Notamacropus eugenii: one gene and its partner. The protein of the gene in region 1 binds, or shares a complex with, the protein of each later gene. Links are inferred from orthologs where the notes say so. Each region holds a gene or a part of one and is shown on either strand. Other genes may lie near its edges.

Evidence for each region. The genes of interacting proteins can lie anywhere in the genome.
Region 2: POLR1C (region 1) and POLR2L share a complex: the UniProt entries of both Homo sapiens proteins name them as parts of the pol I pre-initiation complex. The link is inferred for Notamacropus eugenii from reciprocal best matches to the Homo sapiens genes POLR1C and POLR2L.

Annotation. Positions count from the first base shown.
Region 1 is NC_092873.1:106,459,329-106,470,090, forward strand, and holds POLR1C (DNA-directed RNA polymerases I and III subunit RPAC1), read left to right. Parts: upstream 1-5,660; 5' UTR 5,661-5,840; coding exon 5,841-5,909; intron 5,910-5,993; coding exon 5,994-6,065; intron 6,066-7,186; coding exon 7,187-7,294; intron 7,295-7,560; coding exon 7,561-7,693; intron 7,694-7,767; coding exon 7,768-7,887; intron 7,888-8,180; coding exon 8,181-8,333; intron 8,334-8,481; coding exon 8,482-8,631; intron 8,632-8,947; coding exon 8,948-9,064; intron 9,065-9,269; coding exon 9,270-9,388; 3' UTR 9,389-9,775; downstream 9,776-10,762. Other genes in the region: protein YIPF3, read right to left, coding at 462-585, 820-933, 1,073-1,204, 1,413-1,505, 1,762-1,807, 2,856-2,962, 3,193-3,393, 5,469-5,549. UniProt on the Homo sapiens protein: DNA-dependent RNA polymerase catalyzes the transcription of DNA into RNA using the four ribonucleoside triphosphates as substrates.
Region 2 is NC_092873.1:27,457,629-27,466,688, forward strand, and holds POLR2L (DNA-directed RNA polymerases I, II, and III subunit RPABC5), read left to right. Parts: upstream 1-4,545; 5' UTR 4,546-4,638; coding exon 4,639-4,733; intron 4,734-4,842; coding exon 4,843-4,951; 3' UTR 4,952-5,085; downstream 5,086-9,060. Other genes in the region: CD151 antigen, read right to left, coding at 6,248-6,307, 6,389-6,475, 6,658-6,816, 6,962-7,066, 7,393-7,467, 8,183-8,374, 9,055-9,060. UniProt on the Homo sapiens protein: DNA-dependent RNA polymerase catalyzes the transcription of DNA into RNA using the four ribonucleoside triphosphates as substrates.

The DNA.
Region 1 (10,762 bases):
CTAACTGGCTTAGACTGGGGACTGAAGCACAACCCACCATGAATACTCTCCCTGGACCCTGAAGGTCATCCTAAGGCACTTGGAACCCTGGGAAATCTTCTTTTTTTAAAGTCACAGTATACTTGAACGTTTCTGAATGTCTCCTGCACTGGGGCAGCACTGTACCTAACCTAGCCTAGAGAAATGGTGGTGATCCTCCCCATTAGGATGAAAACTCCTTGAAAGAAGGTCTTCTTCTTGCTTTTTTCCTTTGTATCCTCAATGCTTGGCACACAGTAAATGCTTAATAAATGCCTATTGACCGTTTCCAGAGTTCTTCAAGAGACAGCCTCAGGAAGTAAAGGAAGAGCATGAGGGGAGGAAACAGGGTTAGGGCAGGGGCCCCCTCCCTCCCCCTGCTGTTCTGGAGCTAAACTAGAAAAAGCAGCTAAGAATCACTCCCAACACTGCCCATGACTTACCCTCCACAACTTTGTGGTAGGCAAAGTGCAGGTAGAGTAAGAAGAGCATGTGCAGGGTGGCAAGGGTCCCGCAAAGAAGCAGTCGCTGTGTGGGACCCACAGTCCTTGACACTAGCACCGCCACCTGGGGCCACAACAGATGTCACAGTTCAAATAAACCCAGCCCAGCCTGGGACAAACATCGTGGGCAGGAAGGACAGCTGGGGGGGTAGGGGTGGAGGGGGAGCTGAATGACCTCCCTTCAGGTCCTAGACTTTGGTGGGTTGGGGTAGGGATGGGAGAATCCACCCACTCATGAGCCACACTGAGATTTGTGCCCATACTTGGGCTTCTTCTCAAACCCCTCACCCCCACTCACCATGCGCAGGGTGGACAACCCACCCACCAACAGCCAGAAGAGATAGAAGAGGGCATGAAGATGGATGTTGTAGGTGATAAAGAGAACAATGCAATGTCCAAAGAGTCCATAGCCCTGAGGGATGAGAAGAGGAGATGGCATTTGGTGGCAGGCCCCAGAACCTCCCAATTCCACCCCAGGGCTGGCTAAGGGTAAGTGCTAGAGAGGCTGCTCTGTCTGCTACTGCCCTCCCTCCCCACTCAGGCCCTCTTACCAGCAGTGCCAGCATCTGGAGCATGGTGATCTGTGCATTACACAAGTAAGCCAAAAAGTAAATGAAGGATGAGACGCCCAGCCAGTAGCCAAAGCAGGTGCCAATGGCAGTGCCCATCAGGGTACCTTCCCGCTGGGGTAGGGGAAAGAGGAGGGGAGGATTGATTTAACCACATAGGGTCTCCCACTCCCACCTCTCTCAAGAGTCTGAGTCCCATTCAGTTAGCTCTTCTGAAGCCATCAAGTCCCAGGGTTTCCCACTTCATCTGTGATACCCTGGAGCTCAACAGGGCAACCCTGGAGAGTTCTTCCATTAGTTTCCACCCCCCTCATCTGCTTACGATAATGGTATCAGACGTCTTCATCCCATGGAGAAGAATGGCAACCAGGGTGAACACCAGCATGAGAGGCCCATAGAGTTCGCCAGCAATTTTCTGTGGAGACACTAGGTCAGCTTGGGAAGTTCAAATGACTGCTTCCCTTCTACTTCTGCCCTCACAGGCCCCTAACTGTTCTCTGGGAGCTCTTTCCCGAGTCCTGGGCCAGGTTTCCCACCCTTCCTCTCAGTGGTTTTGCCCAGGCCTTCCAAGCTCCAGCACATTCTAACCACTGCTCCTTCCTGGGCTATCATTTTCTACTTGGGAACGGTGCTGGGGACATCAAGTGACAAAAGGGATCATTAGCACATACCTGGGGAAAATTGACCATCTTGACAGGGATCATGGACTCCAGGAGCCTATAAGATAGGAGGTTTGAGAGTAGGGCAGGGTTGCGGGTAACTTTTTCTAGGAGGGATCTCTTTCTTCCACTATTCACTGTCACCAGGAGGGGAAAGTATTTGAGGATGATTGGGTCCACGGGAAATAAGGAGATCTTGGAGAGGTCTAGCAGGGGGACTGCGAAATTGTGGACTGCATTAAAAGTGTGTTTATGTTATTGGGGGTAGGAGGTGTCTAATGTTACTGAAAAATGATTCTCCTGTTTTCCCTAGACCAGGGATGGGGAACCTGTGGCCTTGAGGACATATGTGGCCCACTTAGTCCTCAAGTACAGCTCTTTGACCGTTCAGAAAAATTTTTTCTGTGATGTTTGGATTCTGTCAAAGATGTGTAAAGGCCATATATGACCTCAAGGCCACAGGTTCCCCATCACTGTTAGGATTACTGTATTTAGAGTTGAAATGTACAATGCAGCTTAACACTTTCATTTTATGGATGAATAAAAAGGCTTGAGAGTCTAAAGGCCTTGTTCAAGTTTACAGTCCTACCTTTATGTCTTGATTAAAGTTTATGAAACACAACACACAGTCCTATAAGTAGGCAGGGCAAGAACTTTCCCTATTTTGCCAATTAGGAAACTGAGGCTCAAAGAAGTAAACTGACTTCCCCCAAATCTCAGAGCTACTTGGTATAAAAACCTAGATTTGAACCCAGATGCTCTTTCCACTACTAGTCTCTTAACATTCTACGTTGTACTCATCTTAGGGGGTTGGGAGAAAGGCTGAGCACAGTAATGACTGTGATAGAAAGTGAAGAAAAATGAGGAGATGCAGGTAAACACCTTACCTCTCTCCTTTTAGAACCTGTGTGCTCTTGTGAAGAACCAGGTGGAGTGTGACCTTCACAGGCGCCCAGTTGGCCCTAAGATCAGGATTCTACTCATGACCCCCCCAAGACCTGGCCAAAGGGAGTTCATATGGGAATTAGGGAAGCAGAGACAGCACAGCTGCTGTTGTGGGCCTGGCCCGGGCCAGGGAGAGCAGCTAGGAGAAAGAAAACTCTTACCGGCTTCGAACTTGGGCAGGTTCCACATCAAAGTAAGGCCTGAGGATGTCGATATTAGCATAGAGGCTGAAGGCCTTGGAGGCCTGTCTCTTCCCTGCCTGCCACATCTGAGAGAAAGAGATAAAGCTGATCCACTGAGATTCTACTTTGGTTTCTAGAAACTAGCTTTAGGCTCTGTTGCTTTTTTCTCCATGGAAAAAATTGCAGATATCTTTCAGAAGAGGAGATTCTGATCTGACTGGCATGATACATCCTGCTTGAAGAAGGGGACACAAATAGAATAGCTGGGACAGAACCTTGCTTCTCCTTAGCCTGCTAGAAGCTCAGTATTACTTACTTGATCAGCCACTTGTCGACTCAGCTGTCCTTTGAAGCCCTTCATTCCCAGGAATTCTCCATCTTCCTCCTCAGCAGCAGCTGCATCAGCATCTACCTCTTCTTCACGGAGCCGCTGGTGAAGCTCCCCCATATCTTCAAAGCTAGATCCTGATGTGTCGTCCATGTTCTCCATGTCAATCACTGCTGAGCCTCCACCCTGCTGGTCAAAGGAATGGTTTGTATCTGAACCAGACTGACTCTGCCTGGTACTCACATCTCATCAGTACTCTCCATCCCATGATGGGACCCTGATGTCTGGAAGGCAGGGCCATGGGCTTCTGTTTAAAGGAGAGAAAGGTGTGTGTGCTCGTGAGGCACAGCAGTTTTTCTCTCTTTTTCCTACTTTGGGACTTCACCTCAGGTACCTCTCCCTGCTGTCAGCTTCCTTTTGTGTGTTGTCTTTCTGTATTAGATCACAAGCTCCTTGAGGACAGGAGCTGTCTTCCCCAGTGCTGTGCTAAGCATTTAATAAATATCTAATAGCAGACTGATCTTTCTGATCCATCCATTCAGCTAAATAACACTGTTCCTCTTTTCCTCATCTGAAGATTGGGGTTGTGGGTGGAATGAGGAAGGGGCTTTGTCCCGCAGTTGTTAAGACTTAGTGGTTTTCCTAAAACGTAGATCTAGTTATGATTCTGAGTACACACACGTGCATATGCATGCACACACACACACAGACACAAAGAGCTCCAAAACTCTCCTACTGCTCTTAAAAACAGTACAAAAAATCCAGCTGGCATTTCAAGTCCTCCACAATCTGGTTCCACCTTCCTTTCCAGGCTTATTTCATATTATTCCCATTCATATACTCCTTTTAACAACAAACTGGACTGCTATTTCCATAGCATTGCACTTCTTGCCTTTGTAACTTTTGCACAATTGCACCTCATGTTTGGTAGCCCTCTTTCTTTGCCTCCAGCTTGCTATACCTCCAGTTTCCTTCAAAGCTCAAGTGAGCTGTCACTTCCTTGATTCTTTTTCTGTTCCCTTTAATTATTAGCCCTCTTCCTCTTAGAATTACTTTTTATTTACAAAAACTAAAAATCTATTCTTAACCACATCCCCCCCTCCATCCAATAAGAATGAAATTTTTGTGAGGATGAGGACGGTATCATTTCTCTCTTTGTGTCCCTAATGCCAAGGGCAGTGCCTTGCATTTTGCATAGTGCATAGTGAGCATTCTGTCTGAAATGAACCTTTCTGTCTCTCCCAACTCTAGCAGTTTGCTGTAAAATTTTGAGACTTCTCAGGCTCAAGTTCTACTTTCCAGCCAGACAAACTCGCTTCTTGTCCTCTACCCATCTCTTTCTCTCCATTGAGGACAGAGAATGAGTTCCCCAAGAACATTTTCTCCCCCAACCTTTCCCCCTCAACAAACAGAGGCAAAAGAGGCTCCCTTATCAGATCCCATGCTCTGCTGTTGCTCCCTAGGACCTAAGTTCCAGAATACATTCTTGGTATGTTTCCACCCATGTCGAAGCACTCTCTACACCCGGAATGCCGTCCCTTCCTGGGTTGCTATCCTTCGAGGTCCAGTTTAAATGCTGTCTGATCTCCGCAACGACTTTCCATCTGCTTAATCTGTACACGTATCATACACTTCCTTGTCCTTCATCCCGAGGAAAGTTTTTTCTCTATTTGGCCGGCATCTTTCATGGAATTGCCTGGAATCTACTCTGAAATTGACACGGTTCCTTAGGTGCAAGTACTTAATTTCGAACTTCTCTGAATCTCCCTGAGTATATATGTATACTAAAGGCTCCGAACAAACGTGCTGAAGGAGCGAGTTCATCCTCCCCCCTGGGTGGCCAGGGCGAGGCCAGCCCACTGCTCGCCCGAGCGCTCGGGCCACGCTGCGGCCTGGCCACCGACTTCCCGGCTGGGGGGTCTCCAGCTCCAAGCTCCACAAGGGCCCGAGAAGGAGAAACAGGGGCCGCCCAAGGGGCAGGTTCAGGCTGGAAGTGCAGATGAATCCCTCGGCTCTGCCTGCCTCAGTGGCCTCCCTTTCTGGCTCTGTTTCCTCCTCTGTAAAACGAGGGCACTGAACTGCATGGTTTCCAAGGTGCGCCTCCAATTCTAAACCCCAGCACCCGGCAAGGGACTGGAAGGGGGAGATCGCAAACGCGGAGAGAGAACCTGCGTCCTCGGAGGCGGGGGGCAGCCACGAGGACCCCGCGAGGGATCTGTCGGCCTTCAGGCCGCCCAGTCCGGGGAGGCGTCTAGGGCCATTACCTGGATATTCTCCTCGAAGCCCCCCCACTCTGGGGAGGCCCCGTTCCGGGTACCTCCTGCCGGGGCCACCGGGCTTGCCATGTCCCTCGAAGGATCCCGTCACTCGGACTCGCGCAACTACTGCGCGAAGGGGGGAGGGCCCGGCCCCCGGGAGTGAAGGTGGAGTCGGGGAGACGGGCGTCCCCCCACCGTGGGATGCTCCAAAAGGAAGACGACCGGATGTTTAGGCGACTCCACCCGGAAGCTGTAGACGTGGAAACAAGCAGGTCCACTCTGTCTCGCGAGACGTAGGGGCCGCTTGTCGCCACGGCGACGACGCGAGAAGGCTTGTACGCGTGCGCGGTGGGCGCCCGGTTGTCACGTGGAGCTAGGATGGCGGCCTCCGGAGCGGTGGAGGAGATGCGGAGCCGCGTGGTGCTCGGGGAATTCGGGGTCCGAAACGTAAGGCTCGAGTGACGAACTGGGCCGGGATCCGTACGGAGGAAAGGGTCCCGGCCTCCAGCCTCACGTGCACCTCTGCTTTAGGTTCATACCACGGACTTCCCGGGAAATTACTGCGGCTACGATGATGCGTGGGACCAGAGCCGCTTCGAGAAGGTGAGGGAGGCCCGGTGCGGGGGGGAGCTGGTGAGGGGAGGCCCGGTGCGGGGGGAGCTGGTGAGGGAGGCCCGGTGCGGGGGGAGCTGGTGAGGGAGGCCCGGTGGGGGGGGGAGCTGGTGAGGGAGGCCCGGTGGGGGGGGAGCTGGTGAGGGAGGCCCGGTGGGGGGGGGAGCTGGTGAGGGGAGGCCCGGTGGGGGGGGGAGCTGGTGAGGGGAGGCCCGGTGCGGGGGGAGCTGGTGAGGGGAGGCCCGGTGGTGGTGGGGAGCTGGTGAGGGGAGGCCCGGTGGGGGGGGGAGCTGGTGAGGGGAGGCCCGGTGGGGGGGGGAGCTGGTGAGGGGAGGCCCGGTGGGGGGGGGAGCTGGTGAGGGGAGGCCCGGTGCGGGGGGAGCTGGTGAGGGGAGGCCCGGTGCGGGGGGAGCTGGTGAGGGGAGGCCCGGTGCGGGGGGAGCTGGTGAGGGAGGCCCGGTGGGGGGGGAGCTGGTGAGGGGAGGCCCGGTGGGGGGGAGCTGGTGAGGGAGGCCCGGTGGGGGGGGAGCTGGTGAGGGGAGGCCCGGTGGGGGGGGAGCTGGTGAGGGAGGCCCGGTGCGGGGGGGGGGGGGGGAGCTGGTGAGGGGAGGCCCGGTGGAGGGGGAGCTGGTGAGAGGAGGCCCGGTGGGGGGGGGAGAGCTGGTGAGGGGAGGCCCGGTGGGGGGGGGAGAGCTGGTGAGGGGAGGCCCGGTGGAGGGGGAGCTGGTGAGGGAGGCCCGGTGGGGGGGGAGCTGGTGAGGGGAGGCCCGGTGGGGGGGGGAGCTGGTGAGGGGAGGCCCGGTGGGGGGGGAGCTGGTGAGGGAGGCCCGGTGCGGGGGGAGCTGGTGAGGGGAGGCCCGGTGGGGGGGGGAGCTGGTGAGGGGAGGCCCGGTGGGGGGGGGAGCTGGTGAGGGGAGGCCCGGTGCGGGGGGAGCTGGTGAGGGAGGCCCGGTGGGGGGGGAGCTGGTGAGGGAGGCCCGGTGGGGGGGGGAGCTGGTGACGGGAGGCCCTGGGAGGGCAGGGGCCCCAAACACCCAGCCTGCGCCGGGAAGGGAATGTGGGAATCTTAGGGCCCTTTTCCTCACAGACCCTTTGCTCCCCCATCCTTTCAGGAGTTCCGCGTGGATGTGGTGCACATGGATGAAAGCTCGCTGGAATTTGATATGGTTGGGATTGATGCTGCCATTGCCAACGCTTTTCGGAGGATCTTATTAGCTGAGGTGGTGACGGCGATAGTGACGGTGTTGTGGGCAGGAGGGCAGAGAAGCTGACAGGAGGGAACCACCCTGTCCTAGCCACATTGAACTACTTGGGCTCATTTTTTTGCAGCTCTGTATATTTATTTCCTTGTGGTTGCTTATGCTTGTTCCCTCCCAGGTTCTTTTTTGGAAAGTAGTCAGTCCTTAGAAACATAGGTGGAGGAGAAGATCTGTTGTGTTATATATATATATATCTTTCTAAGGATCAGTATCATTTCTGTATCTAGGTTCCAACCATGGCTGTGGAAAAAGTCTTTGTGTACAACAACACATCCATCGTTCAGGATGAGATACTGGCCCATCGTTTGGGACTCATTCCCATTCATGCAGACCCCCGGCTTTTTGAGTACCGGAACCAAGGTAGGAGAGTGGAGGCTTGTAGAGGGGAGAGGTTGTGACTTGGTGTGATGGCGCTCTTGCTCTGTCATGTGCAGGTGATGAAGATGGCACTGAGATAGATACGTTGCAGTTTCAGCTGAAGGTCAAATGTACCCGTAATCCTCAAGCTGCCAAAGATTCCTCTGATCCCAATGAACTTTATCTCAATCACAAAGGTGAGTAATGACAGGGTCAGGGAAACAAAGGTGCAAATCCAGCTCCTTTACTTATATGATCTTAGGTAAATTAGCTTTTAAGCCCCAGTCTACTCATCTGTAATTTAAATGGTTTGAACTATATGGTCTTTTATAGCTGTAAATCCAGTGATGCTTGAGGAAGTGGGAGGAGTATCTGCCACTATTATTAGACCATAAATTTAAGAGCTTAGAACTAACCACAGAGGCCATCTAGGCCCTCAGTAACACTTCCCTCCTAAATTTTAACTGACATTCTTCGTCTCATCCTGTAGTGTACACAAAACACATGACGTGGATACCCCTGGGAAACCAAGCGGATGTTTTCCCAGAAGGCACTATTCGTCCTGTGCATGATGACATTCTCATTGCTCAGCTACGTCCTGGCCAAGAGCTTGACCTCCTCATGCACTGCGTTAAAGGCATAGGTAAGGATTGTTGGGTGCTAGTCCAACTATGTTGGGGGTGGGGGGAAAGGGCCCTGAAATTTTTGGATTGGAAATGTTAATGGTAGTGCAGTGTAAAGCATGGAAGATGAGGGGGTTGATAAGGGGTATCTCTGCTTTTCCTCTCCAGGCAAAGACCATGCAAAATTTTCTCCTGTAGCCACTGCCAGTTACAGATTATTGCCAGATATCACTCTCCTCCAGCCAGTAGAGGGGGAAGCAGCTGAGGAGCTGAGTCGATGCTTTTCACCTGGTGTTATTCAGGTGCAAGATGTCAAAGGTATCTGTAGAAAGGGATGCTCACATCCCCATGTCTTAAAAACCTTGAAGACACTTCTCAGTTGAAAGATAATTTTTTTTCCCTCAGGATTCTTAAACTTACATCATCTTGTTCATAGCAGGCATCTAATGATTGTAATATCGTTCATTTCTCATCATAACACCCTGCTCTGGAACATTTATGAAGCATGATTACAAAGTGTTGAACACATATAATTCAGTTGAAGAAGGCCTTAGAGCTCCGATCGTGCTTATGTGCTTAATTAAATCAATTTTGCTTCTTCTAACAGAACTGGTAATGTGGTTTATTTTATCAGGAAAGAAAGTAGCCATAGTTGCCAACCCCCGTCTGGATACCTTCAGCAGAGAGATCTTTCGTCATGAAAACCTGAAGAAGTTGGTGCGGCTGGCCCGAGTACGGGATCACTACATATGTGAGTATTGGGGAGGGGGAAGTAAAAGTGATATGGGAGTAGCCTGAAAACCACTCTCCCACAACCTGGCAAAAGGATTTCCTTTCTCCCTGCAGCTTAATACTGTATATTGTCTTCTATAATTGAGCTTTTTACAGGTGGGGTCTCTTTTCTATTTGTATTCCTAGCATGCATACTGAAGTTCTTAAATATATTTACATTACAGTCTCAGTGGAATCAACAGGTGTCTTGCCTCCTGAGGTTCTAGTGAGTGAAGCCATCAAAGTTCTAATGGGAAAATGTCGGCGCTTCATGGATGAATTGGATTCAGTTCAGATGGACTGAATTATCTTGCAGCAACTTAGTGGAGACAACACCTGGATGGCAAGATGGGTTGCTTTGTGGGGATGCTTCACTCTATCCAAAAATTGTCTTATGATTCCTGAACAGGCTGGCTACCTAAAAGACTCCTAAGAAAACATCAGTGGGTGTGGAGTTGTGATCTAAATGCCAACACAGCCTTCTTGATTGCTTTTTTGAAGTGTCAGCTGTGCAGTGAAAAGATCTGTCATACCGTTTGCAATAGTATCTGGTTAATAGAGTGTGTTCCAAAGTCAGTGAGGAAAGGGGAGGAAGGACAAACAGCATAAAGAACAGCCTTGAGGTGCCATGTGTAGTAGCATATAGTATGAGAAAGGCAGCTTGTATATTAAAGTTGTGTATCAAACTCAATTTTTTTTTTACTGACATGCAGAAATATGCCTCAGAGTTAATGTTTCTACAAAAAGGCTCTAAAAACAATAAAAAAACTAGCATGAAATCACAAGATGTTAAAAAATACCACAACACAATAAATACAACTGTTCCCTTCATGGCCCCAACCACACACAAGTATAAAGCGTTCCACTGAGGCAGTAGTCAAAGCTAGTAGAGAAGGCATGTTCCAAAACTGACCATGTGGTCAACAGAAAAACTTTAAAAATACAACAGAACACTTGAATGTGTGGAGGACAACAGGAAGTCTGTGCAATACAGATAGATACACTGGATGTGAAACCCCTTCTCCCAGCTTTCCCTTGTTCTCTATCCTATGGATCCACGAACTACAGAATCCTCTTGCCAAATATGCCCAGCTCATTTTGGATTTAGATTTTAGAGGAGGCCTGGATCTTTATTTACCCTTTGTTATAACTCTAGACTGGATTTCCAAAACTACGGGCAGCTCTCATGAGCCCTGACTGAATGGTGGTATTTATGTGGATAATGTCCAGTAGGCAGTTGAAACATCAGAAGCCATGAACTTATTAAAGGCACCTGAACTAGGCTATATGGGAATCAAGCCACAAGGGGTAAGTCATGGGGAGAAAAGGCCAATGGGTTTAGCCAGCTCCTAGGAATAGATGCTGCCTAGTTTTGTCAATAATCTTGGATGCCCACAAAGCACCTGAGCATCAAGTGAAATGGTTAGGGATTGTGGCTATTGCTCCTATGGAACCCTTGCTAATAAGGGAGTGACATCTGCTAGTCATTAGTGATGAGGCGGCTTCCCAAGGGGCCCTGAGATGAGGACTTGGGATTGGCCAGTCTCTGAAGGGATCTTGTTCTTGGCTGTAGCCACTTGCAGACAGTCTATACCCCTCCTAGTATTCAAGATGCCATGCATGCACTTCAATTACCATCCTCCCAATCCAGCAAAACAAAACAGGTCTGCCTCCCACT
Region 2 (9,060 bases), about 79 Mb from region 1:
TCCTGCCTGCCAGAGGCCATGTCCAGGCCAGACCATCCAAGGACAGGTTCCTGGAGGCCAGAGGCCTGGCCTTCACCTTGCTCCAATCAGGCCCAGGCCGCACATGCACACACATGCACATGTGCAGCTGCACACACATGAGCACACACACTCATGCATACATCCACACACATACACATGTGCACACTCACATACTTACACACACTCACACATGCACATATATACACATGCCTGTGTGCAAGGGACCATGTGAAGGGGAAAGGAAGGAGCATTTATTTACCCTGCTCTGTGGCAGGCAGTGTGCCAAGATGCGCTGTAGAACACAATTTCCTAAGAAATGCCATATCCTGCAAAGCCCAGAGAAGGCTCAGAGACACAGGAGCCTGCCAGCCCCACCTTCCCATTCCATGGCTGGGAAAATTGAGGCTCCAAGAGGCGGTATGGGGATGTGGATGGGCAGGGAAGAGGAAAGAGGATCCATCGAGCGGGGATCGGTGCGGGGGGAGGGATGGGGGTCCTTAAAACAGGATGCACACCCGGGGAGGGGTAGACTGGGGTCTTCCAGGAAGGAAGCTGGGGGTTGTAGCTGCAGATCCTCCCCCACTCCATCCCTGGGAGTGCACAGTGACTGGAACCAGCCTCTGCATGTCCTCACGGGGAGCCACCTGGCCTCTAGCTCCCTCAGTAAGGGCTTAGCCCACACCCAAACATGGGAGGCATTCCGTGGATGCTCCATGGACTTACAACCCCCAAAAGCTGCCCACCCCCACAGTCCTAGGAGGGTCGGGGTTGGGAACATTCTCCCAGGCTTTCTCGCCTGCTGTCAGGGCCTGACCTGGGTGTGTACTGCTGTGCATCTGGGGGACCAGGGTTGGGCTACACCCATCAGGGCAGGCCAATGAAGCAGCTAGAAAGCAGGATGGTAAACAGGAATGCTTTGGGCTCCACTTGGTCCAAGGTTCTACAGCAGAGGAATGGCTGCTTCCCCAGACCCAGGAGCCTGGCAAAGTACTGGAGGATGGAGGGAGGGTGGGTGAGAACTCCCTGCCTGCTGCAGTCTGAAGACAGCCCCCAAGGGCATTTGGGGGGGGCCAGCATGGGAGGAGGACCCCAGAGGAGTCTTGTCTAGAGATGACCTCAGGGGCAGCCCTGCCCCCAAACCCACCAGACAGCATGGGGCAGGGCAAGCTCAGGGTCAGGCCCTGCACTCCCCTCTCTCTGGCCCTTCATCTGCTCCCTTGGGCTCCTGAGCTCCAAGCCTCCCTCACCAAGGTGGCCAGTAGGCATTTCCAGGCAGATGCAGATGGAGTTTATGATACCCCCCACGGCACTCTCCCCCTTCCCACAGCTCCCAGAATCCATACTTGGTGCTGCTCTGAACTCTTCCTCTTACACCCTCCCCCCAAAAAATGGAATCAGACGACAGATCATGCTTAGTCTGTCTCTAGCTGCATCCTGGTGTCTAGGATGAAGCAAGCGATTAGTAGGTGCTTCCTGCTGCCCCTGTGACCCTCTACCAGTGCACAGGACCTCCCTGACTTCCCCCCTCCCCATACTTCAGCAGTGGTCTCTCCCTGCCTCCAGCACCCTCTCTGATCCTCTCCAATCCGCTTTCCACATATCTGACCCCAGAGGGTAAGTCTGACCAGTCACTCCCCACCAGTTAGGGGCTGAAATACTTAAAAAGTGTGTCCCAGCAGCATCAGAGGCAGGGCAAGGCCCTCCCTCCCTGCTTTGTAACAGGCTCCAGTAACTCCACAGGAAAACTGGCACCTCAGGTACACCACATGAGCTCCAACCCCTACCCCTTTGCACTGGCTGGCCCCCAGGCCTGGAAGATTCTCTCTCCTCATTCCCCCCTTGTGGGATGGCCAGCTGCCTGTCAGGCTCCCCTGCCCCTTCCTCTGTATGTGTCTTCCTGTATCTGTTCCCCAGAGCTGGCAGGGAACTAGTCCTTCCTGTTTTGCATGTGGGTGGTCTCTCCTAGACAGAAGCAGGGACGCTGGATCCCCATCTCTGTGATGTGACTCTTAGCATGTATTTGCTGGCACATAGTAGGTGCTGCGAATGACTGAATGCCTGGGAATCTGGATCTACCCCCCTCCCAGTATGAGCCCCCCAGGGGGTGGAAGGCCTGGGGGAAGAGAAGACAGGGAAAGGGGAAAGGAAAGGGGAGAGGGAGAGAGAGGGAGGGAGAGCATGGCCCTTCATAAAGGCTGACCCTGGTCCAACAGAATGTCCCCTATCTTTTAGATGACCTTAGAGAAGTCCCTTCACCCTGTCTGGCCTCCCATACAAGGAGGGGCTTGAGCAAATAAAGTGAGATCCTTTCTAGCCCTCAAATCTCAAGTCCAGTCCTGCCCCCACCTCCACCCTCTAAGGGACCCATAATGCCCCTTTGAGGGAGGAAAGCCATGCCCCCAGTTGCAAGCCCCCCCATGACTAAGCAGGCCAAGGGCCCCCTAACCCTGCATCTTCTCCATCCTGTGATGCCTTTGCCTGAGGATCTCCACAGATCAGAAACCAGCAGCCAGCTAAGCATCCCACTGAGGAGAGGGAGGTCGGCAGCCCCAGCCCTCCCTGTGGGCCCCCCCCCACTGTGGGTTAGCATTTTCCAGGCCCCGAAATCCTGGAGCCTGGTTCAGTCATTAAAAAGCAGATGGCAAGGCTAAGCCCAGCCCTCAGAGACCCCCTCCCTCCTGGCCTGTCCCGGGGCTTCTTCCAGCCCTGCTCTGGCACAAGGCAGCCAGGGCCCCCCAACCCCCACCCACCCCCAATAGCCAGCCTTATGGGGCATCCCTGCCCCTCCTCTGGCGCCAGGATCCCCGAGGCTTAGAACAGATGTCGGCCCTCCCCACCTCCCAGGGGTTCCCCAGTTGTGGCCTGGGATTAGGTCCCCGAGAGCGGAACTAGAAGCGGGGGCAGATACTCCCATCGAGGAGGCCTGGGCTGGGCCGGAACAGGGAAGCAAGCAACCTCCCGAAAACCAAGTGCCGGGTTCTGCGCTACCCTCGGCTCAGAACCGGGCTGTGATCTCCCCGCTTTTCGGGACTAGGGTCTCTACCCTGCCCCCTCAGGCCCAGGAAACCACCTTTAACCCCGCTTTATCCCGGGGTGCCGTCAGGGTCCCCCTCCACATCTATGTGCAGACCCAAGGGCGGACCCTCCTGGCTGGCTGGGGGAGAGCGCCTGGGGATGCCCGGAGGGAAGGGGGCAGAAGAGATGGGGAGAGGGGAGAGGAGGGAGGGGGAGGGGGCAGAGGGGCATCGGCTCCTCCTCCCTGAGCTGCCCGGGGGGGGATCTGAAGCCACTTACCTGAGCCCAGGAGCTCAGGTGCCCCTCGGGCCAAGCAGGCTCCCGCGGGTCTGGGAGCGGCAGGCTGGGATCCCGCCAGGATCGTACGGGACGAGGGGGCAGGACGCACTGGGCTGGACTGGACCGGACTGGACCTGACGGGACAGGGAGGGATAGATGCTAGCCTGCAAAGCAGGGCAGAGTCCGGCATCAGCGCCGCCGCCCGCTCCAGCTCCCCAAAGAGGACGGGGCACCTCGTGGGACTGGCCTGGAGGCCCCCCCACCTCGTGCATCTGAAGTCAATCAGCCAGCGGGGACCCGCGGGAGGTGGGGGGCGGCTCCGGGGGTCGGGCCAGGCTGGTACGCGAGTTGGGGGAGGGGACGAGGAGGAGCAACGGAGCCTCCCCCGGCCATGGGGGGACGTTCCTGAACCCGAGATGCAGGCCACAATAATGACCCCGGGGGGCAGGGGCCGGAGCAGGGAGAACTCGGGATCCTCCCGTCAACCCAGTCCTGGAGAAGGTGGAGGGAGGTCCCCGAGGTCAGCACGTCCATTCCCCAGACTCCGAGCCTCACAGAAAATACGAAGGGCTGTCGGCACCAGAGGCGGCCAGCCGCCTTCCTCCCCCTCATCCCCCGTAGCCCCGAGCCCCAGCCAGCCAAGACGGAAAGTTTCCCCTAAGTCCCGGGGCCAAAACCTGGCCCGTGGCCCCGTTGGCGCTCCGCAAGCAACAGGTTCCAGCCACCGCGCGCGCTCCAGGCGGCGGCGCCTCCACCAGTTGCACCGTCTAGGGCCGGGGTGGTCGGCCAGGCTCTGGAAGCTCCCGGAGCCCACCTTGAGAGAGAATGAGCGAGCTACGTACGCGCGGGCGGAGGCGGCCACGACGGCGGCGGCTTAGGCTCGGCCTCGCCTTGGGACTCTTAAGTGCAGACGCCGCCGCCGCCGCCGCCGCCGCCGCCCAGCTGTCACTCAAACCCAGCGCGAGAAACGCGCCCGGGCTCCCGCCAGGCTCTTTTGGCCTGCGCGGGCCGCCGTAGCTTCGGGCGAGACCATCGGCGTTCCAGAGGGGAGATCCTGAGCGGAACCCACCCTCGTGCCGCCGCCGCGGCTTCTAGAAACCACGCGACTCGGGACCCCGGACGCAGAGGGCTAGAGGTGCGGGCCCGCGTAGAAAGCCCGGAGCCGGGCCGAGCCGCTTCCTGAGCCTACCCCCCCATTCGAGGCAATGGGAGCGGCCGGGGGGGCGGGGCTTCGGCGCCGGAAGCGGAAGCGGGGCGGAGAGAGGGAGGGCCAGAAGAGAAGGGACGTCTCGTCGCCGGTGCTGCCGTCTCCTCGCCCTCGCCATGATCATCCCGGTTCGCTGCTTCACGTGCGGCAAGATCGTGGGCAACAAGTGGGAGGCCTACCTGGGGCTGCTGCAGGCGGAGTACACCGAAGGGTAGGCGCCCCCGAGGGACTGCGAGGGTCCTAGTGGACCCCTGCAGCCAAGGCAGCGGGGGGGGCACGGACCGGGAGAGGCCAGCCCCCGACCTCACCGTCCTTTGCAGGGACGCCCTGGACGCGCTGGGCCTGAAGCGCTACTGCTGCCGGAGGATGCTGCTGGCCCACGTGGACCTGATCGAGAAGCTTCTCAACTACGCGCCCCTGGAGAAGTGAGCGGCCCGGGCCCCGGGCCCGAGCTTGGGCGAGCTGGGCCCGAGGCGGCCGGGATGCCGCGGGAGACCCCGGCCCTCCGGGGCCCAGCCTCAGCGCGTCTCCCTGGGAGCGAAATACACCCGTTCTTTAAGTGACTCCGTGCGTGGCCCCTTCAATCCAGAACACCAAACCAACGGGCGGGGAAGACCCTCAGGGGTCCTGGGCGAAGCGCCGAGGGCCCCTCCCTCCAGGAGCTGCGCGGAGCCCGGACGCTCCTTCTCACCCCGTCTCGCCCCCTTGGGACCGGGCCGGAGGCCCTGGGAGGGAGGGGCGGTTACAGATGCGGCGGCAGGCGGGTGGCCGGAGTCAGGATCCGGATCTCGGTCTTGTTACCCCCTGGCACCAATCCGCAGCCCCTCACAGGCACCGTCCTGCCCGCTACATGCTGCTGGGCATCCCAAGCCCACTGGGACCCAGCCTCCGGCCTGGCCTCCCACCCCTGCCCCAGGCCTCTTGGGGGTTAGGAACATGTGTTCCTCCAGGACATCGGATGTGTGGGCAGTTAGTAATGCATGTGGGCATTGGTACTGTCACCACACTCTGCTTCTTGCTCTGTCCTGGACATGGCCAGTCCAAGTGGCAGGGAGGGCAAAGGGGGCACCCTCCCCCCATCCCAGCCACACCCCCAAGAAAAGGACCAGCTGATGGATGGCCAAGAGAGGGCTTTACTTAAACATCCCAAGTCTTAGACAGTTGGAAGGCACCTCGGTGGTCCAAACCCTCCCACTCGCAACCAAATCTCTAACTGGCCCTGTGGGAGCCCGGACAAGCCTCAGGATTGCAGGGACCCTGGGCACCCGCACCTTCCCCCATAGCCTCCCCCAGGCAAGGGGAGGGGACACACCTTCCTCCCTAACACAGAAGGCACTGACAGTCTAACTGGGGCCCAGCTCAGGGCACTTGAACCCACCGGAGGGAACACAGGGCTGGGCCTATGAGGTCAGCCTAGAGACAAGGAGGCCCCCAGCCCTAAGCCAAGGGGCCCAGAAAAGGAGATCCTCCCAGCTCCATCCCTGCCGAGGCAGGGCTGGGCCTCCGGTGGATCAGGAGGGATAGGCTGCCGCCCAGCCTGACTGCCAGAGGGGGGTCAGTGTTTGGGGCTCAGACCTCCCCCCAGTCAGTAGGTTCTCCAGAGTAGTGTCACACTTGCCGTGAGTAGCTTGAGTACAAAAAGAGAGAGAAAGGTGGTAATAATTTAGTGTGGCGGTGGGCAAGACAACGCCCCTGTGAACGCACCCTGCCCCAGGCCAAAGGGCCTCAGTAATGCTCCAGCTTCAGGCTTTTGTACAGACAGCAGGTGAAAATCATTCCAAAGATCTGGGGAGGACACAGAGGAAGGAGGTTGTAGGGGGGCTGACAACACCCCCCCCATCCCTCCCCAGCTGGCCCGGGTCTCACCTGCACACCAGCAATGCCCAGACCCATGGCCCCAATGATGCTCAGGTGCTCCTGAATGAACTTCTCTAGTTTGGTGATGCAGCCTCCCTGGGGAAGGAAGCCTTCTGAGGAGGAGGTCCAAAGGCCCTGAATGCCACCTTGAGCCACACAGCCTCCAAGGAATTCTGGGGCCAGGACCCCCAGGCAGGCCAGTCAGGGGTGTGTAAGGTGGCAAACAGCACTCTTGGACAATCATTTTTCCACCTCCCCCTGCCCCAGCCCCCACCTACCTCCACTTTATAGATGTTGGATGCATGGTCTCGCTGCCCACAGCCTTCCACAATGGTCTTACAGCAGCTGTCAGGGAACTTCCTGCCCTCTGCTTCCCCAGACCGAATCCACACGCTATCCTGCCAGTCCCCAGAATTGTTGCTCCCACAGCAATGGAACTAAAGTGGGCGGCAAAGGGGAGGCCAGGGCTGGAGGGGGGCCAAGGCCGGGGCAGGGGCGGGGGGGGTTGTTGCTGGGGAAGGCCCAGAACAAGGTTATGGAGAGGCAGGCGGCGAGGACCAGGGGTCAGCTACGGACACTAACCTTCTGCTGCAGCTTGTCCACCGCCGTGGTCACCCCTTCATGGCCAGGCTGGTGGTACTTAAGGACCATGGTGTCCCTGAGGTTGTCCTTCAGCTCAGAGCTCAGCTAGAAGCAGGGGAGGGGGCAGGCCATGAACCCAGATCCCCAGGGAGGCAGCTCCACTGAGCCCATGGGCCAGTGCCACTCCTCCCTCCCTTGTTCTGGTCTCCATGCTTCAGTCTGTCCCTTGGGCACACTGATGCCAGATTGGGCACCAAGGTGACGTGGGCTGGTGGGTAAAGCCACTCTGGGAGCCAGGAAGGCCTGGGCTCAGCTCCAGCCCACAGCCCCTTCCCCTCTGAGGACCCCCAAACTCTCAGCTGAGAAGCTGCTGGAAAAGCCTCCTCTGGTCCCAGTGACCACCAGGGCCTAGCAGCCTTCCCCCAACTCACCTGCTGGTAGTAGACGTAAGCAAGGATGCCCGCGATGACCTCCAGCAGGAAGATGAGGAGGAGGAGGGTAAAGTACTGGGGGGGGAAGAGAAGGGATGAAGCCAAAGCCTGTCCAAGGGAGGGAGAGAGGAGTGCCCCCAAGGATGCCCCAGGGCAGGGGCACACACGCAAGGCTGGACACACCCAGGACTGAATAACAGTTCTCATGATCTCATGCTCACCTGAGCCAGAGAAGGCAGACAAAGGCCTCCTTCCTGGCATCCCCACCCCGGGAAGGCAGACAAAAGCCTCCAGTCTCCAGACACCACGAAGTCTTCCCCAGCCGAGGGTGGGGCGGGGTGGGGCGGGGCAGGGCGGAGCAGAGGAGACATGCAGGGAGTGTCCCAGGTTAGGGCTAACCCAAAAGGAGGAGGACAGAGGGTGCTAGGGGGTGCCACAGTGCATGGAGCACCAGGCCTGAAGGTGGGAAGACCCACCTCCTCCAGTTCAACTGTGGCCACTTACTAGCTGACCCTGTTGGCCTCAGTTTCATCTGTAAAATGGGTTGGAGAAGGAAATGGCAGACTACTCCAGCATCTTTGCCAGGAAAACTCCAAACAGGGTCACAAAGTTGGGTTCTGCTGAACAATCACTTACCCCCAGACACCTCGCCATCTGCCCCTTCCAAAAGGGCCAACCATAACTAGGTGGTGGCCCGCTGGCCTCGGCCACAACAGTGGGTTCTCCCTCAGTGGCATGGAATCCCCTCCCTTCCTGTCCCCAAAGGGACCTTGGGGGGGGGGGGACTCACCAGCCGAAGGAGATTCCTCCTCTCCTTGAAGGTGGCACAGCACCCCAGGATACCCGTCACCATGACCACAGCTCCAGCCACCAGCAGGATGTATGCCGTGGCCAGGTAAGTATTGGAGGCCAGGAGGCTGATATAGTCGCTCTTGAGGGCCAGTGTCCAGATGCCCACAGCCATAACGGACAGGCCAGTCAGCTGTGGGAACACAGACATCTACCATTCAGGGCCCCTGCTCCATCCCACCACATTGGAGGTACCAATGGATACAAGGGCTTTGGTCCTGGCCAACATGAAGGAGTGTCAAGAAAGCCCACCTCATTCCCCCGACCCCATCAGGAACCCAGGTGGGAAGCCCCAGCATAGCTATTCCATGACCCCAGGCAAATCAGCAGTGGCACTGGGGGTCCCAAGAAACCTCAGTTGCTTCATCTGTCAAGTGGGGACAGTAACATCTCTGTACTGAGATCATGGCTGGGCCACAAGTGTCCAGGAGTTAGAGGTAGAAGGCTCACCTGGGGAGCAGGAATGGTAAAGGACAGCAGGGTGACATTCCTATAGCCCCCTTTCTCCAAAGCATTTAACCCGGTGAGTGAGATCCCCATTTAACAGATGAAGGAGCTGAGGCACAAGAAATTAACAGCCCCTGCTAGCTAGTAACTGCCTAAGGGAGGCAAATGCAGGTTTCCCCCCAGCTCTGTGAGCCAAAGCAAGAAAGCAGCAGGGACACCCTCCCCCTCTGCAGACTGACTCATCAGTCTCCCCTCTGTCCTAGGAGACTGCTCCAGCCTCCCACTGCAGTTCTGCCCTGCTGTCCTCCGTCTGCCCCCCACCTTGGCCCTGGTCTTTCCCCCTCCCTCTGCGCTGGTCCATCTTACCCAGAA